Diceros bicornis minor: one gene and its partners. The protein of the gene in region 2 purifies or fractionates together with the protein of the main gene of each other region. This does not show direct contact. Links are inferred from orthologs where the notes say so. Each region holds a gene or a part of one and is shown on either strand. Other genes may lie near its edges.

The links. The genes of interacting proteins can lie anywhere in the genome.
Region 1: the proteins of KBTBD7 (region 2) and TJP1 purify together in Homo sapiens (co-immunoprecipitation; 3 studies listed by BioGRID and IntAct, counting the BioPlex papers as one, with this or other methods). This does not show direct contact. The link is inferred for Diceros bicornis minor from reciprocal best matches to the Homo sapiens genes KBTBD7 and TJP1.
Region 3: the proteins of KBTBD7 (region 2) and NSUN4 purify together in Homo sapiens (co-immunoprecipitation; 5 studies listed by BioGRID and IntAct, counting the BioPlex papers as one, with this or other methods). This does not show direct contact. The link is inferred for Diceros bicornis minor from reciprocal best matches to the Homo sapiens genes KBTBD7 and NSUN4.
Region 4: the proteins of KBTBD7 (region 2) and VANGL1 purify together in Homo sapiens (co-immunoprecipitation; 4 studies listed by BioGRID and IntAct, with this or other methods). This does not show direct contact. The link is inferred for Diceros bicornis minor from reciprocal best matches to the Homo sapiens genes KBTBD7 and VANGL1.

The regions. Positions count from the first base shown.
Region 1 is NC_080744.1:79,819,342-79,826,423, reverse strand, and holds the start of TJP1 (tight junction protein ZO-1), read left to right. Parts: upstream 1-4,070; 5' UTR 4,071-4,087; coding exon 4,088-4,263; intron 4,264-7,082. UniProt on the Homo sapiens protein: TJP1, TJP2, and TJP3 are closely related scaffolding proteins that link tight junction (TJ) transmembrane proteins such as claudins, junctional adhesion molecules, and occludin to the actin cytoskeleton.
Region 2 is NC_080748.1:35,094,988-35,102,153, reverse strand, and holds the start of KBTBD7 (kelch repeat and BTB domain-containing protein 7), read right to left. Parts: upstream 3,024-7,166; 5' UTR 2,429-3,023; coding exon 389-2,428; 3' UTR 1-388. UniProt on the Homo sapiens protein: As part of the CUL3(KBTBD6/7) E3 ubiquitin ligase complex functions as a substrate adapter for the RAC1 guanine exchange factor (GEF) TIAM1, mediating its 'Lys-48' ubiquitination and proteasomal degradation.
Region 3 is NC_080752.1:9,208,557-9,215,622, forward strand, and holds the start of NSUN4 (5-methylcytosine rRNA methyltransferase NSUN4), read left to right. Parts: upstream 1-4,054; 5' UTR 4,055-4,096; coding exon 4,097-4,189; intron 4,190-7,066. UniProt on the Homo sapiens protein: Mitochondrial RNA cytosine C(5)-methyltransferase that methylates cytosine to 5-methylcytosine (m5C) in various RNAs, such as rRNAs, mRNAs and some long non-coding RNAs (lncRNAs).
Region 4 is NC_080743.1:48,187,297-48,194,400, forward strand, and holds the start of VANGL1 (vang-like protein 1), read left to right. Parts: upstream 1-4,092; 5' UTR 4,093-4,192; intron 4,193-4,654; exon of another isoform or gene 4,655-5,139; intron 5,140-7,104.

The DNA.
Region 1 (7,082 bases), on a different chromosome or scaffold from region 2:
ATGATTTCTCAGTTTTTGTTTATGTGAGAATGCCTTAATTTCTCCTTCATTTTTGAAGGATAGTGTTGTTGGATATAGAATTCTTGGTTAATAGTCTTTCTTTCAGCCCTTTAAATGTCTTCCCTCTGCCTTCTGATCTCCACGATTGCTGATGATAAGTCACAGGTTAATCTTATTGAGGATTCCTTGTATGTGATGAGTTTCTTTTCTCTGGCTCCTTTCAGAATTCTCTCATTGTCTTCGTCTCTCAACAGTTTGATTACTGTGTGTCTAGGTGTGGACTACCTTCAGTGTATCCTACTTGGAGTTTTTTGAGCTCCTTAAATGTGAAGATTAATATTTTTCATAAAATTTGAGAATTTTTCAGTCATTATGTCTTCAAATATTCTGTGTCCCTTTCTCTCTCTTCTTTCCTTCTGGGACTTTATCATATGTTGGTATGCTTAATGGTTTCTCATAGGTCTCTGAGGCTCTGTTCATTTTTCTTCACTGTTTGCTTTCTGTTCCTCAGACTGGATAATCTCAATTGACTTATTTTCAAGTTCACTGACTCTTACTTCTGCCATTTCAAATATGTTGTTGAGCCCTTCTAGTAAATTTTTTATTTCAGTCATTGTACTTTTCAACTCCAGAGTTTCATTATTTTTTAAAATTTCTGTCTGTTTATTTATATTATCTATTTGGTGAGACATTGTTCTCATACTTTCCTTTAGTTCTTCAGACATGGTTTTCTTTGGTGAAGATATTCATAATAGCCAATTTAAAGTCTTTGTCCAATAAATCCAATGCCTGGGCTTCCTCAAGGGCAGTTTCTATTAACTGCTTTTTTTCCCCTATATATTGGCCATATTTTTCTGTTGCTTTGCATGTCCTGTAATTTTTTGTTGGAATCTGGACATTTCGAATAATATAACGTGGCAACCCTAGAAATCATATCCTTGCCCCACTCTCCAAGGTTTGTTGGTGGTGGTGTTTCTTGTTGTGGTTGTTTTGTTCATTTAGTGACTTTGCTGGACTAATTCGGTAAAGTCTGTATTTTTGTCATGTGTGGCCACTGAAGTCTCTGCTTAGGTAGTTTAGTGGTCAGCTAATTATTGGACAGAGATTTCCTTAAATGTTTGGAACCATTAAGTCTCCCAGCCTTTGCTGAGAGGCTGTGTGTGTTGGGGGATGCCTTCAACATTCTGATAGGTAGTTTACAACTCTTCCTTAACCTTCACTTTCTGCTTGCACTGAACCTCAAGGTCACCCAGAAGCGAGAGATTAGGGCCTTCTCAGGTGTTTCCTGAGCATGTACACAGTCCTACATGTGCACATGGCATTCTGGAGTCCCAAGAATGTCGAAGTTTTTCAAGGCATCATACGGAGCCCCATTCTCCACTTTTCCTTTTAATTTTTCTGGTTAGCCGCTTGTTAGCCCCAATGGGTTTCACTGCCTCAAGCAGCTTGTGATGCTAAACAATTGTTACTGATTGTTTCTGACAAATGCCCTAGGGATAGGGCTGTTTGCACAGAGTGAGATCCTGAGCCAGCCAGGTCAAATAAAGACAAGCACTGTAAATGGAGCTTTTCAGGGTGCTGCCAACAGGTCAAATAATGACAATTATCTGAGGATAGGGCTTTTGAGGAGCTCTAAGCCCATTAGCGGCTGCTAGTCAACTGGTTTTCAATACTACTTTAGTTACGAGGCTGTTGGTTTACAAGGCTACGGCAGAGTTGGAGAGAAGGGGATGGGAACTGGGCAAGTCAAAATACTATAAAGCTCACCGTTCTAAGATTCAGTAATTTTTTTGTACAAACATTCTTTGTATTGTTGCAAGCCTTTGGTTAATTTCTGGAGTTCTGGAAAGGTTGGTTTTGACAAATTATAGCCACTGCTCACCTTTTATGGAGAAACAGATTATCTGCCATTCTGCAAGTGCTTCTACCAGTTTATTTTTATCTCTCATTATCCTGAATTGATCTCTTCAGCCTCCAGTTGTCAAAATCCTTGAGTACAGTGCAGTATTTTCATCAAATATCTTACCAGTAATATGACAAGGTGGTGCAAAAGGCCAAGCGTACATTAGAAACGGTACATACATAAGTACAGGCCCTGATATTTTTTAAAAGTACTGCTCCAAGGTCTTCTCCCATGTGTGGATATATATTTGAAGTGTCAAAGATCTTCTAATTCCTCATTTTATGTGAGAGCTAAAACTTATGGATAAATGAAAGTGAAATAGATTTAGACCTGCTTTCCTACCAAAGTGACTGTGAAATTATGTTGGGAGCCCAAACTAGGAGACTGTTTTGTTCTAATCTTACGTGCTAATTAATTTGAAAATGCAGTGTTTAAATAGAGGTACAAGAGGGATGCACTGTGGAGGGAGGGTGTTAATGTTTGATAATTCTGCCTGGTGGATGCACAGGCACTTGTTATCTGTACTCTTCATATATACATCCTATACACACACATACACACACACACACAAACAAACAGGCAGTCCTTGCTCTGCAAGTTCAGATATGCCTGATGTTAGCTACTATGGCTCAGTTAAATAATACCAGTTGCTCAACAGTATGGTTCAAATTTCAGCTATCATGGCATATTAACTGTAAGAAAATGCATATAGCGCAAACGCACGTAGTATAAACTTCGCTGCTAGCTCTTTAGTCCACAAAGCACAACACAATAACATGTGCATCATGATCAGTGACCAATCACAGTAGTTCTTTCAAAGTCTGTTAGTCATTGGTCACTGCTGCACCTGTTATTCAGTTTATGCAGCCAACTGTGCAGTTGTGTTGCCTCCTCTTCTCCCAGTGATAAACCTGTACAACATTGCATAAAAATGGGTAATTGAAAGAGGGAATTAGCCAGCAAGATGAAAGTGCAGCAAAGAAAAAACAATAAAGATGGAAATGAAGTAAAATTCGAATGGAATGTAAATGGAGTTACAGAAAAAATAGGCAACTGTGGGAATGTTGACTCTGCTGCCTTTCCAGAGACTCTAGACACGCAGCCAGAAGAACTTAGTAAATGTGAACTTGAATGAGGAAAGTGGTTGTGACAAAAAGGATGAGGATGTCCCAGAGGACGTCACATTAAAGGAACTCTCTGATATATTTCATGACATTGAAAGTACAGAGGATAAAATGCTGAAAGTGACCCAAATATGATGCTCTGCCAAGGCATAGAAAAGACGCTCTCTCAGTATATAACAATTCTACTAGCAGAAGACAAGAGCTGTGCAAGTTACTCTTAATAAGTTTTTCTTACAGAGAAATAAAACACTTTAATTCTCAATCTTTGTAATGTTCTAAGTCACACTATTAAGTGATTAGTTTTACTATTTTTTTTTTTTATTTCTCTATACATTATCTCCATCAGTGAAGAGAGTTTGGAATGTTTTGACAAAATTTTTAAAGGTCATGGAACAATCTCCATTTTTCCCAATGATTACGAAGATAGTTTCGCGTGGTTCAGGTCATTTCCACAATCCTGAACTGCCTGGCATGCAAGCGAGGACTGCATATATGTATATATATACACACATACACATATATACGCATTGTATATGTGTACGTATATACATATACATGCATTTTATATATACACCAAGTCTGCAAACACTTCAGGCTAGAACTGATGGTTACAAGCTATTAAGTGGTAATTATAAATTAAAAAATTAATTTTTTCCTCTCTGGAAGCTTGTCGTTAGGATCCCTTTGGAGCAGAAACGGTCGGAGATGAGTTCCCGTCAGCCGCCGAGGAAACTGAGGCACGCGGGGGCGCCGGGCCTGGGCGGCGCCGGTGGGCGGGGGCGGCGCCCCGGCCTCACCCCGCCGCTCCCGGAGCCGGCACACCGCCAACCCGGCCGCCTGTGAGGCCCGCGCCGCCCGCGGCTTGCGGGGTCGGAGGGGGGCGGTGCGGGAGGCGGCGGCGGGAGCGGCGGGCCACGCACGGCGGCGGCGGGAGCGGCCGGGCACGCACGGCGACGGCGGCGGCGGGAGCGGGGGTCCTGGCCACGCACGGCCGCGGTGGCGGCGGCTTCGGGAGCGGGAGCGGCGGGAGCTGTGGCGGCGGATGGCCCAGAGCTGATCTATGCGGCGCTTGGAGGGGCTGTGTCTGCGGCGCCGGCGGCGGCGGCGGCGGGGCCCTGCCCGCGAGCGGAGCGGGGACAAGATGAAGTACCAGAAATACCTGACGGTGCTGCAGATGGCCATCGGCGTCACCCCCTCCAACCGCGGCAGCCTCCTGCCGCTCAAGAGGAAGCTGTGGTGAGGGCGCGGCGGGCGCGGGGCCGCAGCCCGGACCGGGCGCGGGTTGGGGCCGGGGCCGGGGCCGGGGCGGGCCGGCGGCGGCCGGGCCCGACGGGCGCGGAGAGCGCCGGGCGCAGCAGCCATTTCGGAGCCCCCTGGGCCGAGCGCCTCGGCGTCCCGCGCTCGCACGGTCGTTTTCCGCTGCGACCCTCGGCGGTGCCCGGCGACACGCAGAGCGGCGCGCCGCGGGAGGGAGGGGCCGGAGCCGCCGGCTGACGGGCGCCCGGGCACCCACCGTCTCCCGCCGGTGTCTGTCCCTTCAGCTCCATTGCAGCGAGTTCGGGCTCGGGATTGCAAGCCAGGCTTTCTTGCAGGCAGCGAAAAATTTAGCATCACAGTATGCGTTTTCTGTTATTTCTCAAAACCCGTCTGCTCTTGGGTACCTAGTAAAGGACGAGCCGCTCCCACAGTAAGGGGAATAAGTTGCGAGATTATAATAAGGGGAATAAATTGCGAGATTATAATTGCATTATCAAGGACTATATTTTATCTGCATGTGTCTTAGTTCCTCCGACCTGGAAACTGTTATTGGGGTAACAGGAAAAGAACGCCTTTAGAGAAGAATGTCTGGACGTTATCCAGGTCAGGTTTACATAGTTGATTATCTCTCAGATTGTATTGCCTTTTATTAGTATTTAAATATGTCATATGGAATCCCAGTGGCTGCCTAGGCACTCTCTGGACTTGCGACTTAGGCGTAAGGTGCTATGACAAAAGAAATAGTCAAGTAAAGGGATGGTGACTAAAGAAAAAAGATGCCAGTGATCTTGGTATTCAGTGGTCATTTTAATTTTAAAATTTGTGGTCAATGTAGTTCATAAAGGTTTTATACAATTCAATTGAACATAGTCTAATTTAATTTTAAGGTTATAGAGAAAAGGAAGTAAGGCTGTTTTTAGGCATTTGGGGAAAGTAATTTCTGCTATATCAGACAAATGAGAAAATGATCCAAGGAATATAAAGATTGAGCACCCAAAAAAAAAGAGGAGTTAAAAAAAAAGAATCCCAAGAGTAGAGAATTTTCGAGATAAGACCAAAAAGTATAGGCAGCAAAGTTCAGATTTAGCTGTGCCACTTACTGTGTGACCTGAAGCAAGTTACTGGAGTATCTGTTTCTTCCTCTGTAAAATGAGAATGTTATCTACCTCATGGGGTCATATGCAGATCAACTGAGATAATGAATATGAAGTGCCTGCCACTATGTCTGGCTCAATAATAGATACTTAGTAAATGTTAGTGTCTTCCTCCTTACCCCCCACCTCAATTTGTTTAAAAAAAGAGAAATTTATTCTGCAAAAGGTAGTTTAACTTGATGAACAGCAACTGACAACACATCGAAGACTAGACTGGTAAAAATTGGCAGTAATTGAATTAATAAATGTCCATGGAAGAAGATTTTGCAAATATATGAAGATTATGTCGCTATTATGAAGCAAGAAACAGTAACATTTGAAGATGACTTTTCAGATTGATGGTGTACAGGAAAAATAAAAAGAGATCAGCACCAACAGTCTTATCCCCACCCTCCCACCACCATGTTTTTCTCCTGGGCACTTAGCAATATCTAACCCACTACATACTTTACTTCATTTTCATATATGTCGCCTCTCACCGCACTAGCATTTGCATGGGGACAGGGCTTTTGTCTGTTTAGTTCATTACTAAATCCCCTGCAACTAGTATCTGGTGCAAAATAGGTTCTAGAAAGACATATGTTGAATAAATGAATTCTTAATAATGCATAACTGGGAAAGAAAATTTTCTCGATGTTAAATTTAAAAACTAAGATGTCGGAATAATGTCTGAGGAGCCATTAGGCATGAATATTAGCAGCACTTGGTCACAAAGCCAGGAAACTAGATTTATTCTTTTTCATAATTGGAGTGCTACTTCTGAAAATACATTCCTCAATACAAAGTTTGTGAAGAGAGAACTTGATAAGATAAAATCCAGGTAACTTTTTTACTCTGGGGAGTCACATTTGAGGCAGGCAGTGAACTGGGGACAGGATTAACAACTGTCTTACTAGGAGACGGCCTGGGAAAGGGCAGGGGGATTTTGTTGAACTTTTCCACAATCTTAAACAAGCATTTCAGAATTTCCACTCAGCGTTAAGTGAATTTGCAAACGTTTATCTAGTTTCTACAGTGGGAAAGTGAGGAGCATACGCTACAAAAACTGTGGAGTGGGTGGTACTTTTAAACACAGATGTCACAGATGTATAATCCTTTTTTTTTTTCTTTAAGTTAGAGAATATTGTGCTGCTTGATTAATCTATCTGTTATATCCTCTGGAATTGATTTTGTAGATAACATTTCATTTCGCCAGTGTCGTAGCAACTGCACGTGGAGAATTTGACACGGAAGGCACCGTTACATGGCTAGAAGATATGAGGGTGTGGGTTCTGACTCCAGAATGGTGGGTGGGAACCAATAGCAGATATATGTCAGCAGTGTATGTCAGACCTTGAAATGCACCAGCTTATGCCCATTTACAAGATGTGAGGGTATACTATGATAATTGGTTGTGGCATATATGAAGATTTATATGAAGATGTTTATGAAAATGTGTATACTCTCTGTGTTTCTCTCTCTTTAAATTATTGCAGTCTGTGTGGAAAGACAGCATGCCTGCAAAGCTTATGCCAGTGTAAGTAAAGGGTAGGGTTGAATGATCCAGTGCTTTATCTCCACACTTCTATCTAGTTTGGCCATTTGTGCTCATCAGCTTTCCTTTGCGCAACATCTTTCTGTCTTTGTGATTGGCTCTGTAAATCC
Region 2 (7,166 bases):
ATTATAAAAATTAAGAAGTTAAATTCTTTGTGGCACTAATAGAATTAAAAAGTTAACAGAAGACTAAATTAGATAATCAAAATATAAACTACTGTAACTAACCAAAACAATCCACTGGTGCAATGAATAACTGAACAATGAAAAAACCACCAAGCTTTCTAATCAACGATATAGCTCACTTTTTGCATATTTCAATCTCAACTTTTAGCACAGTAAATTCTTATGTGGACTGCTTAAATTTTGTAACATTACATTAGTAATTCAAACATTACCCTTTCTAAACCAAATCTGTGGTCCTAATCACTTTTTTTTTTTTCCAGAAAAAGGAGAGGATATCTTTTTAAGATACATTCCATAGCAGTAGAAACATCTCGGTGTTTCAAAATATTTACAAAGAACCCTGCTGATCCTGTGCATTTCGCTGAGGTGCTACCTGTACCCAGACTTCATCATCAGAAAAAGAACTTGAACTTCCTGACTCAGAGTCCAGCTCACTGAATCCGTCTAAGTCCCATTCAGTACTAGATTCACTCCGTGCATCATCTTCCTCAGTGATGAAACTCTGACCAGGTTCAAGGCAGGAAGGATAAACCCGAGCACAGAGGCAAATAAAGCCAGAGTCAAATTGCAATAGACCTAACATAGTACCTATATTAATCCACTGGTCTTCCCTAGTATCATATTCATACACAGTCACCCGGTTTTTTTTCCACTGTGGGGTGGTAGAAGTGATGAGGAGCAACTTTTGGCCATGATTGACAATCTGGTAGTTATGGGTCTCTGAGTCCAAGGGAATATTACTAATCCGCCTCCATTCTCCCCTGGCTGGGTTATAGACCTTCATGACTGGGATGTCACAGATACAATAGATCTCATCATTGAAGACACAGGCTTCCTGAAAGTCACTTCGTTTAAGAGAAGCACAGTTCAGCCACATATTGTGGCTAGGATCATAGCAGAGCATGCGTTTACTGTTCACAGCATAAAGATAGTTCTGAACCACTATTAGTTCAAAGGAATAGAAGGAATGGGGTACAGGAGCCACCAGCGCCCACTGGTTCCTCTGAACACTGTAGCATTCCACTTCCTTCAATTTAACTCCGGTAACAGGGTCTCGCCCACCCAAAATGTAAATGTAGCCATTGAGGTATGCCACATCCATGCCCTCACGGCAGAGTAAGCGGTCTGCAAGTTGCTGCCAACTATTCTGGGCTGGTTTATATACCCAGAGGTCCTTCCTGGGCTGGGCAGCTAGATAGATGTCATGGTCTGGAGAGACACAGACTGCTGAGGAGGTGACAGTCTTAGTGTGAGCCAAGCTGGTCAATGGTGATGGCATTGTGTAAATGTCCCCCGAGTACGGGTCATAGCAGAGAAAGGGATCTCTGGGATGTCCAAAGAAGATCACCATCTCCTTGGCACACATGCCCAGCCTCTGGGGTGGATTTTCTGCTGCGGATACAACAGAGCTGCTGCTGTCCTCTGACTTAGGCACCACAGACTTGTACAACATGTCACTGCATCGCATCTGCAGGGCCCCTTCAATAAGGTCCGGACAGTGCTTCTTCACAATGGGCTTGGTCAACAGCCCTTCCAGGTAATCCTGATCTTCATCAGTGAATTGTGTCCAGCGGACACACTTGAAGACTTCTGCTGCGCTAGGCCCACGCTCCTTGGGAGCCGCCTCCAACCACTGCATGGCCACATGACACACTGTCCGCTCACTTTCGATGTCTAGACTATCCAAGCGCAGGACAGCCACCAGCTGGGCCAAGGTCAGATCTGCCAGAGTCTCCTCCCGAACTGAACTCATCCGGCTGAGCTGCTTGAAGTTGTGAGCTATAAAGGACTGGGCCTGCGATCGCAGTTTGTGATGGTCGAAGGCGTCCGCAAACTTGAGGATAGCGGTGCAGTTGGCCAGGTCTAGGCGGCGGGCTAGGAAGGAGGCACAGGCTTCTCGCACATATTCCAGCTGTAGCATGTCGGAGGCCGCGTAGAGGCGCTGCACGTTGGCCTCGCTTAGAGACACGCGACCCGTGTAGCAGTAGTCAACTAAGACCTCGAAGGACTCGGCATCCACATCGTGCATAGTCACGCTCGCCTGCTGGCTCTCGTACATGCCGCCGGTGAACATGCTCTTGAAGTAGGGACACGCGGCAGCCAGCACATTACGGTTGCAGGAAAATAGGCGGCCTGTGCCAGGCCCGCTGCCAGGTGTCACCACCTCGATGGTCACATCGCATAGCAGCCGCGCGTCGTAGAAAGACTTGAGCTGTGCCAGCAGGGCTGCAGAATGGGCCGTGTCCTTCAGCTCCTCCGGGCCCGTGAAAAAAGCCGAAACCGAGGGCTTGGAAATCCTCTTGGGCCGCCTCCCCCCGCGGGGACTGGCGAGGCGGCGAGAACGCGGAGCTTCTTCCCGGGACTGCATGGTGGAGATGGCGGCGCGGTGCCGAGGGCGAGGACGGGTGCAAGGACCGGGCTCTGGCTCCTCCTCACCCTCCTCTCGCCGGCGCTAAGATCGCGGTCTCCCTGAACAGACTGTCGCAGGGGCCGCACTTCCTCAACTCAGCCCTACGCCACGCTGCTGCCTCTCTTTATCGCGTAGACAGTGCCTGACTCACCCTTTTCCAGTTCCGCGCCCTTTCTCCGCCTCAGCTCGCCCTCACAAGATCCGCTAGCCGGAACAGAGAGAGCCGCCACTGCCGCGCTGGCAATACCGGTACGCGTCCAAGAGAACTACGGCTCCCAGGTTGCCTTTCGCGCCTCGAGGCATGCTGGGGCCCTCCAGACTCACCGGCATAGGCTGACCAACAGAAGCCGCTTTGCATGTCGGGAGTAGTAGTTTGAGTAATATCGCGAGGCTTCTTGGGGTGGACTGCTTTAGCTAACAGAATCAAAAAGCGTTAATTCTCCTGGATTGGATGGTTTAGAGCATTGTCTTTGAAGTCCAGAGTAGAAGCCTCGTTTTAGTATTTGTTAATTGTGTGACTTCTCTCTGAGAGCTTTCCCCTCTTTGTAAAGTGGGGATAATAGTATTCATAGGATTGTGTGATGGATGGAATGAGATAAATTGAGTAGGACATAGGATGCTTCAACAAATATTTGTTGATTAGAACAATAATTAATTAAATGCTTACACTGTGCCTAGAATATATTCAATCACTGTTAGCTTTTCTTTTAGAGTTTTTGAAAAATGAGGCACCTCCTAATTTGAAACCATGAGCAATTTCTGCAAAGAAAACTTCCAGCTTTTAATGTTGCTTCTTTTGAAAGGTTCTGAAGGGTACTGCAATATTTTCAATACTAAACTGTATCCATAGATTCATTAGGCTGTCTTTGACAGAGATGAGGTCCTAGTGAATAACATTTATAGATGTCCTCAAATATGCAAATCAGGCTTCTAAATATAGATGGATTGGCATCTCACCAAATCAACACATCTCCTGAGGAGCAAGATTATTTTCATAAGCTCTTAATATGAATGTTTTCTAGTCGTCTAATACTGCTTCTTTCACTTCCTTTCCACAAATCAGTTGAAGATTCTGAAATGTTTTTATTAAGGAGTTTTAACGCGAGTTTTAAATTAAGATATTTAAACAAATAGGATCTTGTACAAAAGCACAAGATCCTCAGAGTTTGGTATTCATATATGCCCTGATGTTCCCTGAATTAATATAGTACAGTCTATGCTTTATAAAAGTATTTTTTATATATATTGATCAACATTGTCTGTTAGTTAAATCGTCAAAATCAAGTGCTTAGAGATTAACTAAAAAAACAGAGAACTTTTATTTAAAAACCGAACTGCTCCTGCTACTAGTTTGCAGTGGTTCCCATAACCCAATGAACGAAATCTTTAGTGTTACACGAATAGGTGGATAACTCATAACAGGAGAATAACTCAGTCAAATTGTTTTTCTCTCTTTTCCTGTTAGCTGAAGAGGGTCTACTGGAAATACCCTAAGACAGAGACATTAAACTAAGTGGGGCTCTGGGCTCCAATATCTCCCCTGTACCTCTGTTGGGTATCCCTCAGATAAACCAGAGAGAATTAAGTCACTAGTAATACCAATTGCTTTCTCACCTGCACTAAACACCAGCTGGGGAAAAAGCAGTTAAAAAAATTTTTTTGTATTAGTACAATATATGTAACATAATATTTACCATTTTAACGATTTTAAAGTGTACATTTCTTGGGCGTTAAATACATTCACATTTTTTTGCAACCATCACCACCATCCATCTCCAGAACTCTTTTCATCTTGCAAAACTGAAACTTTGTACCCATTCACAATAACTCTCCTTTCCCCACCCCAAAACTCCTGGTAACCCCCATTCTACTTTGTGTTTCTTTGAATTTGACTACTCTAAGTACCTCATATAAGTTCAGTGATTGATTTTTAACTTTCTTATATCTGCCCTTTGTTATTTGGTTTAGCTAACCCTTCACAGAATTCAAAATATTTAGTAGACACTGTGCCCTAAGGTCTAGAGCAGTGCTGTCACAGAACTTCCTGCGATGTTGCAAATATTTTATATCTGCACTGACTGATACGGTAGCCAGAAGTCACCTGTAGCTCTTTAGTTCTTGAAATGTGGCTAGTGCAATTGAGGAACTGACTTTTTGGGCCAGCCTGGTGGTGCAGCGGTTAAGTGCGTGCGCTCCGCTGTGGCGGCCCAGGGTTTGTGGGTTCAGATCCTGGGCTTGGACTTATGCACACCGCTTATCAAGCCACACTGTGGCAGGTGTCCCACATATAAAGTAGAGGAAGATGGGCACGGATGTTAGCCCAGGGTCAATCTTCCTCTGCAAAAAGAGGAGGATTGGTGGGGCTGGCCCGGTGGTGCAAGTGGTTAAGTCTGCGTGCTCCGCTGTGGCGGCCCAGGGTCCGCCGGTTCAGATCCTGGGCACGTACCAACGCACTGCTTGGCAAGCCATGCTGTGGCAGCGTCCCATATAAAGTGGAGGAAGATGGGCACGGATGTTAGCCCAGGGCTAGTCTTCCTTAGCAAAAAAAAAAAAAAAAGAGGATTGGCAGATGTTAGCACAGGGCTGATCTCCTCACACACACAAAAAAGAGGAGGATTGGCAACATATGTTAGCTCAGGGCTAATCTTCCTCACGAAAAAGAAAAAGGAACTGAATTTTAAATTTTAGAAACACAGCATTGGTATCAATGCAATTCAATGGAGAAAGGAAAGTCTTTTCAACAAACAGTGTTGAACAACTGGATCACAATGTGAAAAAAATTAACCTTGATCCCTAACTTATACCATAAACAAAAATTAATTCAAAATAGATCTTAATATTAAACAGAAAAGTGAAACTATAAAGCTTCTAAAAGAAATCATAGAAGATTATCTCTGTGACTTTGAGGCAGGCAAAGATTTTTTAGGACACAAAGAACACTAACCTTAAAAAAATTGATGAGGGGCCGGCCCCGTGGCTTAGCGGTTAAGTGCGCACGCTCTGCTGCTGGCGGCCCGGGTTCAGATCCTGGGCATGCACCTACACACCGCTTCTCCGGCCATGCTGAGGCTGCATCCCACACACAGCAACTAGAAGGATGTGCAGCTATGACATACAACTATCTACTGGGGCTTTGGGGGAAAAAAATAAATAAATAAAATCATAAAACAAAAAAAATTGATGAAATGAACTTCAACAAGATTACAAGCTTTTGTCCATCAAAAAGCAGTAAAAACAAAATAAAAGGCAAGCTATAGACTGGTAAAAAATATCTGAAATACATATACCCAATAGCCAATAAATATATGAAAAGCTGCTCAATGTCATTCATCATCAGATGAATGCAAATTGTATTCACAATGAAAAAACTCTGCACATGCACTGGAATGGCTAAACTTAAAAAGATCAACGATACTAAATGTTGGTGACAATAGGGAGCCATTGGAACCCTCATATATTAACAATAGGAATATAAATTGGTATATCCACTTAAAAAAACTGTTTGGTAGTTTCTCTGAATGTTAAATGCCCAATAATTTCACTCCTAGGCATTTGCCCAAGGGAAATTAAAACATCTGTCCACAAAAAGACTTGTACAAGAATGTTCATGGTAGCTTTATTCACAATATCCCAAAACTGGAAATAATCCAAACGTGTATCAATAGGAGAATGAAAAAAATTAATTGTGGTATATTCATACACTGTCATACTACTCAGAAATAAAAAAGAACCTTTGCACATGCAATAATGTAAATGAACTTCAAAAATTTTATGTTAAACAAAAGAAGCCAGATATACAAGAGCACATACTGTATGACCATTTACGTGAAGTTCAGAACAGTGAAAATAAGGTATGATGAATAAAAATCATTATAGAGGCTGCCACTGTTGGGGACAGGGGGTTGGCAGATTGCTGAATTGACTGGAAAGGAACACAAGGAAATTTTGGGGGTGAAGAAAATGTTCTCTTCTTGATTGTGCTGGTGGTTACACGGGTGCACGCAATTGCCAAATTCAATGAACTGTCTCTTAAGATCTGTGCATTTAATTTACTTTAAATTATACCTCCTCTTAGGATGAGCCACTTCATAATTACTGGCACTAAATAAAGTTGCAGAATTCTTTGCCAGGAAAATTGTGAAGATTGTTCAGTCAAAAATAAAATAAGACTCTTCTCATCTAGAGGTATATGGGCCAACATTGCTCCAATTCTCACTAGATGCAGAGCTCCATACACCTGGGACAGGGTGCCTCAGGGCAATCTTCAAGGATTTCAGTGTACTGGGATCTTTCAAATTTGTAGAGTAGCTGAGTGCCCAACATTACATTCTATTATTCTTTTATTCCTGACACAACTTCAGTAACAGCATTATTATTACCTAACTATCTGTGTTTCCTCAAGATTTCTGGTAATTTGCATAATCCTCTACAATGGAATCCACATTCTTCTTGGCAGGAAGATAAAAGAGCTGTTTTTGCCTGATACATAAGCCTCAGTCATCAGCAAGCCATGATTTTAGTCCTTCAAAAATTTTGAACTTCAGCTCTTTTCATGAATGCTTCCACAGCAGGATCTCCTTGGGCCCTTTCCTGCTGAGGAGGCTGAGGCATCTCACGAGTACTGCCACCATTTCCATTTCCTGGTGACTCCAACATTTTTCTCTTGCAGATCAGATATCTTCTTTCCTGGGGCAGC
Region 3 (7,066 bases), on a different chromosome or scaffold from region 2:
TCCTTCTAGTTGCTGTATGTGGGACGCGGCCTCAGCATGGCCGGAGAAGTGGTGCGTCGGTGCGCGCCCGGGATCCGAACCCGGGCCGCCAGCAGCGGAGCGCGCGCACTTAACCGCTAAGCCACAGGGCAGGCCCCTCATTCCTTGCTTTAATTTAACCCAGCCTTGGGAGGGAAAGGCAAGATCTTATGAATATTTGTATGATAAATTCTGTAGGATAGCAATTGTAAACCAGATCATTTGTACACTTGTTACACCCATATATTTAGGCAACTTCTTAATATGTAAAAACACAATGTCTAAGCCTAGGTTAAATGGTGGTAATGACTCTACGCCAGTGAATAAGTCCATAGATACTGTTGCTTCTGCAGAAGCCTTATGTACAACCCCTGGTTACATTTTCATATGTGAAGGCTCTGACAATAGCCTTTATGCTTGGGCATCTCATTGCCTTAACAGCTGGAGAGTAGGAGATCAGTGTGCCCTTGCCATATTCACCACCCTGTTCTCCCTGCATAACCAATCAGAAGCCTCTCATTGGTCAGTTCCACTAAATTCCTATAATTACCTCAAATAAGAACTTCCAGGAAGTGTGCATGATTCTGGGTTTGCCTCTGTGGGGAGAGCTTTCTTTCTGTGGGTCAGAATAAGTGCTACTGCACAAATGATCAGGATTCTCTCCCTAACACTAGAAGAGTTGGCTGGTTCCACAGCCAAAGCAGTTGCAACCCAACAATAGTTGCTTAACTCATTGGCCAGGGAGTTTGAGATACCTACTTGCTGAGCAGGGAGGTGTCTGTGCAGTAACAAACACCTCCTGTTGCACATGGATAAATAACTCTGGGGAAATAGAGAGCCAATTACATAGAATTAGAGAGCAAGCACATTGGCTACAACAAATTTCACCCAATAACCCACTGTCTTTTGATTTTATTCAGCCCGTTACAAACTGGGCTTGTTGTATTGTTCTTTTTTTTTTTTTTTTTTTGAGGAAGACCAGCCCTGAGCTAACATCTATTGCCAATCCTCCTCCTTTTTTTCCCTTTGTCTCCCCAAAGCCCCAGTAGATAGTTGTATGTCATAGTTGCACATCCTTCTAGTTGCTGTATGTGGGACGTGGCCTCAGCATGGCCGGACAAGTGGTGCGTCGGTGCGCGCCCAGGATCCGAACCCAGGCTGCCAGTAGCGGAGGGCGCGCACTTAACCGCTAAGCCACGGGGCCGGCCCCTGTTGTATTGTTCTTAATCCTGCTTTGTGTACTTGTTGCTAAATGCTGTACGTATTGCCTGTCGAACCTCTGTAAACATGATGTACCTAATAAGTTGATGTTAGCTCAACAATTTGAAACGGTTTCTGAGGCTTACAACCTCAGACAACTATAGACTTTGAATAAGAGATGCTTGAGAGTTCTCCCTCCTGGCCTTCCTTGTTGCTCAAATGTGGCCTAAATGGTTTCCAACCACTGTGCACGTTCCCTGCACCGTGGGACATGACTACCAGGAAAGGTCCTTCCTGGCACCGAGGGACAAAACCACTATGTGCAGAGAACCTGACTCTTGATTAGCAATGCTTGTGGAAGAAGATCTTGATCAAAATGGGAAAATGTGAAAATTAAATAAAGGGAAACCTCATTTAAAATGGAGTTGGGAGGCCAGAAGGGGGAGCTCCCATGCAGTACCACTTGAGGTCAGTTACGGGAAAGATAGTCAATCATAGACCCCAGCAGAAGTCATCAACAGGAAAGAATCATTAATTACAGGAAAAAAATGTACATCGCATCCCAAAGAGAAATCAACTACCCCAGGAACTCAGCCAATGAGAAACCATCACCACTCTGAACTCTTGCTTTTCTCCAATGGATTTTCCTTCAAAACAACTCCTCCCAATTTCCTTTTTCCCTATAAAATAACGTTCCTCTCCTTTGATTATTGGATTTGCTTATGGTCTCCCATAGCATGCATATTCCCAATTGCAATTTTTTAGCTATTCCTGAATAAACTCGTTTTGCTGGAAAAATAACTGACTTTTATTTTTAAGGTTGACAATTCTTATCTGCATTTAAATGTCTACGAGCTTTATAAAAAGGCCTTTCTCTATACATATATCTCCTTGTTACCTTACAACTGCTAGGTCCCTGTAACAAACTTCTTGAAAAAATTGTTTACACTCACATCTCTACTTTTTCATCTTTCACTCACTCATTCAATAAATATTTATTGAGAGCCAACTATGTACCATATACTGTTCTAGGTGCTGATAATTCAGCAATGAATTAAACAAAATCCTTGCTCTTTTAAATCTTACATTCTTGTGAGGGTAGACATGTCCAGAAAAATTGTCCGGAACTTATAAATGGGCAGAAGAGGATTACTGGGTGCTCTTTCATTGTAGTGCTGGGGTTTACATTTGATTGACTTGATGTTGATTAGGCTATCTTACAACTTTGTAGGGGTAGAGGTTAACTTGTAGAAAACTGAGGGCAATGCAAATAATTCTCGTCTGAGAGCAACGCAAACAACTCCTACGCATAGTAACGCAAATGAATTTTGTCCAGCAAAGATGGAATTGATTTTCATCTGGTAGAAGAGATAATCCCAAACATCACAGTTTATTACTTAATAAAATATTAATGTTTTTGCAACTATTAGCAAATTTATTTTAGCATTCCTTTGGCTGATAATCTAAATCTCTAAAACTCAAATTCTCATTGAACAAGTCTTACCATTTACTGGGTCCCTCATTATCTAGGATAATGGGTGAGTAGTTTATTATGATGAATAAAGTCTTTGGCATGTGTTCATTATATATTTGTATAAGAGTTATGTTTTTAACCTTTTGAAAATTACAATTTAGCAGACTATAAGAAAATAAATACATATCAGGTGGTAATAATTTATAAGAATAAATGTGGGGTAAGAGGACAGCTGTTAATGGTGGTGTAGGGCCCAGTCAATCAATCCTGTAATTCTTTTTTTCTTTTCTCCTCCTGCTTTTTTTAAAAATTATTATTATTATTATTTTGTGAGGAAGATCAGCCCTTAGCTAACATCCATGCCAATTCTCCTCTTTTTTTTAGCTGAAGACCACTGGCCCCGACCTAACATCTATTGCCAATCCCCCTCCTTTTTCTTTTTCCCCCTTTTTCTCCCCAAAGCCCCAGTAGATAGTTGTATGTCATAACTGCACATCCTTCTAGTTGCTGTATGTGGAACACCACCTCAGCATGGCCTGAGAAGCAGTGCATCGGGTGTGCGCCAGGGGTTCCGAACCTGGGCCGCCAGTAGCAGAGCGTGGACACTTAATTGGCTAAGCCACGGGGCCGGCTCGTGTAATTCTCTCTTAACTGTAAGTGGAATCCATCCTCTTCTCTCCATCTTACTGCCACCACACTAATCCAGAACATCATCTTCTCTCATCTGACCTCCCTGCCTGCCTTACCCCTAACTACTCTGATCATCTGCTGTCAGATGTTCATTTTTAAAAACACTTATCTGATCATGTTCCTCCTCTCCACCGGCTCCTTGGTGGATTCAAGTTTTGTGGGGCCTAAAGCTTACTCAAATTCGGGAGGCCTTCTTTAAGAAAAACAATACAAAATTAGGTACAGGCCCTTGAAGGGGGCAGTGCCAATGACAGGTCCTGAAACTTAAGCTTCATTAGCTTCACTATAAATCCGCCTCTGCCTACAAGTCTAGCCTGTTTTTTTCCTCTTAGGATCTTTTCTTCGTGCAACTTCTGCCTAGAAGGCCCTTACCACCCCTTTTTGCCTAGTTAACTCTTTCAGTATTCAAGTGCCAGTTCCCAGTCCTCTCTGACCCCCCCAACTGGGTCAGGGACCTTTACGGAGTCTCTCTCAATGCTCCAAACATCCAGGCGGAGCCACCATTCTGTGCGAATGGTTGCTCTTTCCCAGCGCTCTCAAAGATCGCTGGCGGGGCGAGGTTTGCACCCGGAATGTAAAGATGGGCGGAGCCCCGGGAGAGAGTCAGCGGTAATTCCCTCCCCTTTACGTCCAGAGCGGCGCGCACCACCTCTCCGGAACCCGCGAGCCTCCGGTTGCGGTTCCGGTCGGAATTACCCGGCAACGCACGCAGACATGGCTGCGCTGGTAGTGAGAGGTGTTCGGGACGTGCTGAAGCGGGCCGACTTCGCGACGGTCCCGCGGAGACATCGACATAAGAAGAAATGGGTAAGGCCCAGGAGGGAACAGTGACAGCGGCCCCTTGCCACCGCCTCTCGGGAAACCTCCCCAGCCCTTCCACTGCTCGCCCGGCTCAGTTAGGGTCGCTCCTCTCTCCGGTTGGAACGCCTTCGACCTCTTGTCCCGCCCCTCAGGGAGCGTCACTAGGCTCCTCCCTCACATCTGTTACGTCGTCGCCTCTGTCCGCCCTTTTATTTCGTCACGAGTCTTCGGCTCTCCCTCTTGATAAGTGTGCAGCCTCCTGACTCCGCCCCTCTGTTACGTCATCGCCTCCGCCGTCATTCTTTCAGTTATGTCACCGCCTCTTGTTCCCCTGCTCGCGGTTCCGTTCCGCTTGGCTCCCACTACCTCTTCCCCTTCCCTCCCTCCCCCTCCCCCTCCCCCTCCCTCCCCTTCTTTCCTACCCTGACCTCTTCTCCTCCGCCCCCTATGACCTCCTCTCCTCCCTTCCTCCGAGAACTTCGAGCCCGGCCGCCCTCACCCCTCGGAAAATGTCACAGCGACTTCCCGGTCCTCCCTGGGTCTCCTTCGCCCTCCAGGAAAGGAGTCAACTCCCTCACCCTCGAGCTGCCTCTGGCGCCCAGGAAAGGTTACAGTGACCACCCTGCCGGTAGTCCCGGCCTTTCCCCAAACTCAGGCAAAAGGTGCAGCGACTCCCCTCACCCCCTGGGCTCTCCCCGCTGCTCCAGACACCCTTTCTCTGGCCTCACCTGTAGCCCTGGAATTTCTTCCGTAACCGGCCCGCCCCCCTCTCTACCCCGACCGATTCCCTCCCCGCCCCCACCGCCCCCCTCCCCACCCCCACCGCCGCCCCTGCGTCTGGGGACATGTTCTTTTGAACCTTGTTCTCCACTCCTCGGAAGGCCTTACTGCCCTGAGACTATCCTCTCGGGTTCGTCCCCCCCGAGCCCTTGTTTTGACCGGTTCAGCCTTCTGGGGTCACCCCCTCTCCGTCCCCGGAGCCCTTATTGCGGCTGGATCAGCTCCCCGAGAACACCGTGTCCCTGTCCCCGAAGCCCTTACATCGACCAGCACACTTACCTCTGTTACTGTGGTGGATACCCTTCAGCCCTGGTAACCAGCCCGGTGACCTCCCCTCCCCTTACTCATCGGCCCCTGGGAACCACCCCGGTGACTTCTCCTCCTGTCACTCATGTGCCGTTGGAAACTGGCCCCATGATTTCACCTCCTGTCACTCATCAGCACCCAGGAACCAGCCCCGGGACCTCCCGTCCGGTCACTCATGTCACCTTGGAAACTGGTCCCATAATTTCACCTGTTTTCACTCATGAGCCCCCTAGAACTGGTCCCGTGATTTCCTCTTCCATCACTCATGGATCCCAGGGAACTTGCCCCATGATTTCACCTCCTCTTACTCATAGGCCCTTGGGAACTGGCCTCATGATTTCACCTCCCCTTGCTCACCGGCCCATGGAAACTAGACCTATAGTTTCCCCACCCCTTTCTCACAGGGTTTTGCAAACTGGGCCCATGATCTCCCCTCCACTCTCTCCCTGGTCCTCAGGGAGAAGTTATAATGACCCTCCTCTTTCCCAAGCATCTTCCCCACCCACCGGCAGGTTTTACCATGGCCACCATAAGCCTCCAGACTCTTGTGAACCTAAACCACAGCTTGACCCACCCCGTGGGAAAAATTACTGTGGCTCCCCACTTTCTTCTCAGGCAGGCACATCTGGCTGTCCCAGCTCACCTCCAGAGGGCCCTTATCACTATTCCCATCTTCCCCCAGAGACCTGCATACCTGCCCCTGGGAGCCCTTGTTGTGCCATCCGCCTACCCCCTGGGAGTACTGGTTCTCCTTGCTTACCCCAGTCCCAGGCTTCCAGGAAGCCTTGCTTTGAGTCCTTGTTCTCCTGGGAGACTGGTGGGAGCTCTTACCTCTTCGTAACCCCAGTCGCTATGATTTCTGGTCCCCCTTGTCCCCAGGAACCACCTCTTCCCCTGTCCTCGCCTTGTCCTTATTCTGCCTTCTTTCCTTCACCCCTGAGCAACCAGTTTATATCTCCACCTCAGTCACCCCCCCGCAGAAGCTATAACGACCCTCCTCTGCCTACCCCAGCTTGCCCCCAAGTGAAGTCCCCCAAATCCTCAGAGTTAAGACAGCCACGTGCTCCCCACAGAAGTCGCTCCCTGGTCACCCCTCCCCGGCAAACTCCTCCTGACCAGCCCAGGCCCCCTAAGGCCAGCACCTCTCCTCCACCTCCCTCCGGCCCTTCTGGTCTCTCAGGTGCTTTTTGTACAGTGACATCCGTTACAACTTGCTCAAATTCTTGCCCTAAAGAACTTCCCCAAGGGACTACCTTACCTACTGTGGTCCCTAGAGTCCTCAAAACTGTTATCCCCACTTCCCTTCCCCTCCGCCTTCCTTATGATTCTGTCTCACCCAATAGTTATGCTCAGAGAAGCCCCCATGGACCCCTCATAAGATCCCCCTGCAGTACCCATGTATATTCTGTGGTTCCCTCCACCCCCGATCCCTGCCCACTCTCTGGTTCCCTCAATCAATCCACACGCCCCCCTCAGTGTCATAAGCAACCCATGGTGCCCCCCTGTGGCACCTATAGCACTCCCAGGGGCCCACCCCAACCCCATTGCCAGCCTGTGGCACCTCCTTGTTCTACCCACATCTATTCTTGTATCCCTTTGAGAACACCCTTTGACCCCCAAAGTTTACCTATTGCCCCCCGAGCCCGAGGCCGACCTGATGCTATGCCCTGTGGCCTGCATGTCTACTCTGTGGCTTCTCGAGGCTCCTGCAAAGAGTCCTCCCAGATTCCCTACAGCTGTCCTTTGCCTTCATCCAAGAGTTCCAGCTGTAGTTCAACTATTATTATTAGTGAATAC
Region 4 (7,104 bases), on a different chromosome or scaffold from region 2:
AGCCTCCTGCGGAATCCCCACCCCCACTCTCCCCCAGCACTGCACACCGCCGTCAGATAAGGCCTCCTGGACATCCTCTGTCGCACTTCTGTGCCTTTGCCCAGAAGGTTTCTTTCCTCTTTATCTGCCAAATACCTATCCTTCAAATTCTGCTCCAGGGTCACGGCCAGGTGAAGCCGTGTGCTTCTGCAGGCTGAGCTGGCCCTTCTTTCCCTGTGCCCCCACAGCGTCCCGTCCCGCCTCTGGTCTCAGTCACAGCATTCTCATATTCGATAGCAAGGCTTTGTTCAAGCAGCCGGAGCCTCCCCAGAGAGAGGGACACACCACAGTCCCCCATCCCCTATCTTGCTTTGTTTTCTCCTTAGTACCTGTCACCATCTGACACACTACACATGTTGCTCCATGTCTCCCCACTAGAATTTAAACTCAATGAGGGCAGAAGCTTTTGTCTGTTTTCATGTATCTTCAGAGCCTAGACTAGTAACTGGCACATAGCAACTGCTCAATAAATATTTGTTGAATAAATTGTTGACTCACTGATCAATGTTACTTTATCTAGCTTTGTATCCTTAGTAGTTACATTGCCTGGCTCGCAGTAGGTACTAAGTCTAAGTTTTTGAATGAATGAAAAGATGAATGAATACCATGTTGCCAGCCTGTTTAAGAAAGTTCAAACACTAGTGTTGGGTTCAAAGTTCTCCATCTTCTAATCCTAGCCACTCAGTTTTGAATCCTCTACGTTTCAGCATGAGTCCTTGTCTCGAGCCTAACTGCTCTGCTCACTGCCCTTGACTATATCCCGGACACCGCTCTCTCCACACCCCTGCCCATACTCCAAACAGAAACACCGTTTACCCCCTATTCCACTCATATTTATTAAGCACTTGAGATAAGCCAGCCACTGTTCCAGCCACTGTCCTCCACCTATGCCTATCCCACTCCTTTCTTTCCTCAACGTGAGGACAAGGTGACCCTGACCAGCCAGGCCCGTGTCACTCTCCTTGGGCACTAATAATCTACAGCCTAGCACCTCATCCCTGGTGTTATCAACATATAAACAGATCCTACACATAGATTTTACAGAAAATGGCCCTTTAAAGAATCAGCGCTAACATTTCAAACATTTTGGATGGAAATTTTTCTAATATTATTTTCATGTCTTCCTAAAGTACTGTATATAGAATATCCATCTAACCTTCATAACTCAAGGTCATCACTATGAACACTATTATTCTGTAATGAGGCAGTGTGCCAGGGGGAGTAACTGGTAACAAGAAAGAGCATGAGTTTTGTGATTAAACAATCTTCACAATGACCCCTTTGCAGTCCCTGGGGTTTCCTGACATCACCTCCTTCTCTTTTAATATGTTTCTAATCTATAGTGGGCTTAGGACTCAGATGATGAAACTTCTTAGAAATGTTTGTAAACTATGTGTAAATAGTTGCCGAGTATACGAGAGATTCTGCTATTTATAAAGTCTATCCAATTTAAAGCATGGATTTTGTACAATCTATTTTGTTGATCAGAGGCCTTTCTCACTTAACTGTTTTTCAGGTGTATTCAGAATTCTTGAGGCTGGATAAGTGACTTCTTAAAAAGTCTGCCTTTAATGCATTTAGCATTTTACATATTCTCTTTTGTTGCCAACTATCTTTATGTGCCTATGTCATAACTTTTCAACTAGATTGTTCCCTGGTGAGCTTATTAACTTCCCAAGGGCAAGTGATATTTTATAGTCATTCATTCATTTGCTAAGTATTTTTTAAAGTAACTACTAGGTGGAAAGATCTGCAATAGAAAAAAGATGAATAAGACATGGTATTTATACATTATTGAAGAGTGAGAAGCAAATAACCAATACGAGGTAAGAAGGTAAGTATAAAAATCCAGAGAGCCATGGGAATTCAAATAGGTGAAGAGAATATTTTCTGGTTGGGAGAACCGGGGAAGGCTTTGTGTAAGAGATGGCATTTGAGTTGGATCTTGGTAGACAGGAAGAATTTTAGTGGGTAGCATTCTAAGGTTTGGGAAAGCTGTGAGAATGGGCAGAAAGGGAGAAATATATTCATGAATTTGTGGAACATACAGTCATGCTGGAGTCCTAAGAGCACCCAATACATAGTATCCTACTTCCCTAGCTGAGTTTGGAACAAATGGTTACGTGAGACAGAGGAGTGGCAGATGGAGCCCACTTATCACCTTTATTACTGAGTAAGGTTAAGCTGGAGAACTGGACTTGAGGCAAGAGCTGTATAAGCCTGCTGAAACCTGGAGCAATGCTGACTCACTTTGTGACAGACAGTGGGAGCCAGGGCAGGCCTCCAGGCCATACAGACCATCACTCAGGTCCTGAGAAGTTGTCCACCTCTTACCTTTTAAACTTGAATACTTGAGATTGTTGGATCAAAACCAGCAGTAGATGGCATTTAAAGGTGAATTTATTATCTTAAAATAGAGTTTATTGTGCACTACCCCTCTTTGCCACAAAAGCACCACATGGCAAGGTAGCTTACTTAAACTATAGTGAATTAGAATCACTTTCCACGAACATGCACGGAGGATCTGTATATCACACGGCGGCTATTCAGGAGCAGCAGAGCTAGAATTGGAAATCCCTGGCCCATTGTAACTTTGAAGGGTTTACATTTTAAAGATGAAAGAGACACATTTTTATAAAGCTCTACATTCCTGTATCTGAGCACTGATTCAGGTGGATAGACAACCGGCTTTACCCTTAAGAAGATGGCTGCCTGGGTCAGCCCTAGCCCTCTGGAGACAGGGGAGAGGTTTGTGAGGGAGAGAGGCAGATGTCCTGGGCTGCCAGAGTGAGCAGTGAAGCCTGGTGGCGGGCTGGGGAGGGGTCAAGATTGACTGCATTGAACATATGTCCTCTGAAGAAGTGCAATATATGGGAGAGAGAATGGGACTGGAGGGGGTGGGGAAGAGGTGGGGCTGGGAGTGAGGGCTTTGGGGACTCAAGCTCCCTGAACTAGGCTAGTTCAGGGTGGGTGTGTTTCCCCACCCCAACTGCCCACAGTACACAGTACTTCATTATACACCATCTCGGCTCGAGAACTGGGTCATGTAAGCAGCTTCAGGTCCCAGCCAGATTCCACACTCTCCACGTGGATCCCTAACCCTATCCACACAAGATATTGAAGTAAGAAGAATGCAAATATTCATATACATAGTTGACAGCTGTTCAGTGCCTACTGGGCACAAGCTACTTTCCATAATCCTCACCACAATCCTGCAAGGTTGGCATTATCATCCTCTCCCACTTTTCAGACAGGGAAACAGACTCAGAGATGGAAGCAGACCTGGTTGAATCAGGATTGGAACCTGGGCTGCCTGCCTTCAGAGATGTGCTCTTCCAGTAGTTTCTATGAGACTGGGGTTGGGGGGCAGCGACTGCTCTGTTAGGAGAGGAGGAGGGAGAGGGTTGGCTATGGGGGCCCGGGTGTGTATGGTTATTTGCCTGGTCATTTCCTGGGCTGCATGTGAGTTTAAGTGGGAGTGTGTATATGGGTTGAGGTGGTTGTATATGGATATTTGTGGGTCAGTTCTTGGAATGTGTGTATACGAGTGTGTGTGGGGCGGTTAGCCTCCGGGCCGTGTGAATATGTTTGTTGGGGCTCCCGTGAGGGCAAACGGGCTTGGATTTTGTGCATGATTGTGAGTATGTGTGTATGGCTGTAAGTTTGAGGGGGCAAGTACGTTGGGCTGTTGGGTGGGTGTCACTCCCTGGCCATGTGTTTATGATGTGAGGGTGAGTGAGTGAGTGAATGTGAGTGAGTGTGTGTGTGTGTGTGGGTGTGGGTGTGGTCAGTCCCTGGGGTCTGTGTGTGTAGGAGTGTGCACGCACGCGCGTTTGTGTGCGCGCGTGAGCGTGCCCGGGTGTGGCGTGGCTGCGGGGTGGGGAGAGGCCGGCCGGCCCCGCCCTCCGCTGCAGGTGGGCCGGGCCCTCGGCGGGGCCGGCAGCGCTCGCTGCTCTTGGCTCGCGGCCGCGCCGGGCTCGCAGGGCTGGGCTCGGGCTGCGGGGCGGCGCCGGGACAGGAAGCGGAAAGCAGCAGTGCGGCGGTGGCGGCGGCGGCGGGGCTCTGCCTGTACCGGAGCCCAGCGCAGGCCGCAGAGCCGGGGCCGCCGTGAGCCGAGACCGCGGGCCGCGGAGCCTGCACGGCCGGCGCGGAGGTGAGTCCCGCGGGAGGCCGGACGCGACGAGCAGCGCGCAGACCTTCCGCAGGGAGACGCCCCCACCCCGGACCCTGCGAGCTCCTGAGCCCTCCTCCCGCACCCCCACCCCAGACGCGGGGTCACCGCCTCCTCCCGCCTCTGGCCCGGAGCCGCCTCCCCTCTTACTGACCGCACCCCGTGTTCTGCTCCCGGGATCCCACTCCTCTGCCATCCCCGCGAGGTGCGCCCCTCCTGCCCCTCGCTCCGCTCCCCGCCGCACACCGCTTCCTGGGTCCCGGCATTCCCCCCACGCCTCGGACTCCCCCTTCTTCCCGGCTGCACTTTGGGGTGCGCCCTCGGGGTGCGCGTTCCGGCCGGCAGGGAGTGGCCGAGCGTTCCTGGAGCACCGGGCGGCTGGAGCGGCCGTGCGAGCGGGGGCCGGCAGCCCTGCGCTCCCCAGGAGCCGGGCGCGCACCGTGGTTCCCACCCCGCCGCGCAGCTCGACCCCGTAACCGCCAGCGCCCGGGGGCCGCCCGGCCCTGGGCCAGAAGCCGGCACAGAGCTGGCCTGTGTTCACACCCCGCTGACAAAATTGAGCCGGCCCCGGAGGCCTGGGGGGGGCGAGTCCGGTTGCGCATCGGAGAGCGCAACAGGCAGGTAGGAGTTTACTTTCAAAAACGCCGGGGTGGAGCAGAGGCGACCGGCAAGTCTGCGCGGAGTGTGCCACTTGGAGAAATCTCACCGCGCCGGGGCAGCCTTCGCCACGGGCAGGACCTCATTTTCTCCTGCAGTCTTTGAACTGCCCCAAGCAGCGCGCCCGGAGAAGTGTGAAGCTTTATAAAAATTTAAACGTGTCGGTGCTGGAGGCAGGAGCGGGGCGGAGCCGCGGCCTGGCCGCCCGGAGATGAGCTAGTGAGACTTGGAGCCGAGAAATCTGTTGCTCAGTTTTCACATCTTCAAACCAGGTATAATGCCCACGCCGCGAAGGTGTTGTGAGCTCGTTTAGCTGCTCGTTAAGAGATGTTAGAGCGCATTATTATGATGATTGTGTGGCTGGCACGTGCATTTTGTTAAACCCTTTTGGCGGGGCTGTGGTTGGAAAATGCATGTGTTTTGGACACTTATTCCAAAAGCTAGTAAGCTGTAAAGAATCTGGCATTTTCACTGATATGTTTATAAATTTTATAGGGTTGCTGGAAAATATTATAACTTGTGTCACCAATCAACAATGCTAATTAGCATTCTCCATCCAGTGGGTGGGTTGATTACACAGCTCCTAGGCTATTTAAGTGAGATGGCAGAAACTGTCTGAATTCAGGGAGACGTAATTAGTCATTTTATGTAACCACTAATTAGAGTTTTTAGAGTTAAATTAAATCAATGTGATATCGTTGGGGCTTTGATTTGTGGGAGGAAACTTTTATTCTACAGTTCAAAGAAATAACACCACAAATCCATGAACATTTAGCATTCCCAAACTTTGCTGTCTCTAAGGATAATTAGGGAAAACATCTTGTGTGAAATTCTCAGAGTGTTGATAGTGTGACTTGGTTACGACTTAATTTGTAAATAAAATGGGAGAAATAAAATTTATTGTGTTATGTATTTGAGCAACAGGACAAAACCATAAAGGAAAGTTTCTTTACAAGCAGCAATCCCGTGTCATCCTGGTCTGTTGAAGAAACAGCGCTGGGTGAAGAATGGTCTTCTCCTCTCCCTCCCCTTCACAAACACACCCTTTTGTCACCCTAGACTTCAGCCGCATTTGGGGTGCATGGGTCCTTACCACATTGTATTTTAATAGCAGGTTTCCACCTTTGGGCTGTGAGCTCCTTAGGAGCTGGAACTGTTTCAGATTTGTTTCTTTTTTCCTGGACTCCCCACAGTGCTTGGGACACTGAACCTGTGAGTAGGAGTTGAAATTGCAAAATTGTTTGTGGGTTATGTGTGGTTTAGGACAATTGATGATTGTTGCCTACCCTCCTCTGTGTAAATAAACAATTCTGGTAATTGCTACATTGCTATAAATTTTCCTTAGCTAAGAGCACAGGTTCTGGAATTAAACTCTCAGAGTTCAAGCCCTGGCTCCAGCGCTCACCAGGTGTATGACCTTGGTTTCCTTAACTGTAACATGAAATTAATATTTTATCTCCCTTATAAGGCTTGTTTTGAGCATGAAGTGAGACATTGCATGCAAATCACTTAAACAGTGCCTAACACATAGTAAGCACTCAATAACTGTAAGCTGTTAGATTATTATCGCGGTCCTGTCTCTGTAAAGTGAACTAGCTGTGGTTAGGAGACTAGCTGTGTATGGGCATGTGATTTGGGCATGGTACTATGCCATTTTCCAGAAGGTGGACAAGACAGGATGAGGTGGACTCGAGGCTGGACCATGTTTCTGCTAGTGGCTTTGGTCTTGCTTGAAGCCTGAGGAATGGTGCATGTGTGCTCTGCTGCTGTCTGTCCCCATCAGTGTCCTTCTGAATCCTGCTTATTGGACAGCGGTCATTGGACCTGGCACCATGAGATTTACAGAGGAGGTAGTACTTGTGAAATCTATTTTTCTGAACCTTAAAAATCTAACGGGACAAGGGAGTCACTTGAAAACAAATATACATCATAGAACCCCAGACGTGTTAACCATTCACAGCTCTCAGACATCTATACCCAGCTGCTGGAGGTGTTTCAGAGGTAATTAATGACTGGAGCCAAGAGCAGTTATTCTGGGAAGCTGAGTTGAAATCATTGGCAAGACAGGTAAAATGAAGTTGACGTTTTCTTTCCTTGAGAATAGTGGCCCAGAATCATTCATTTATAAGAGCTCTGTTGTAGTGAAAGAATCATTGGGTTTGTCACAAATGCCACAAGCCCTCTGATCCTCACATCAGTGACCTGGATGGTGTTTTATGGTTTATAGACCACAAGTT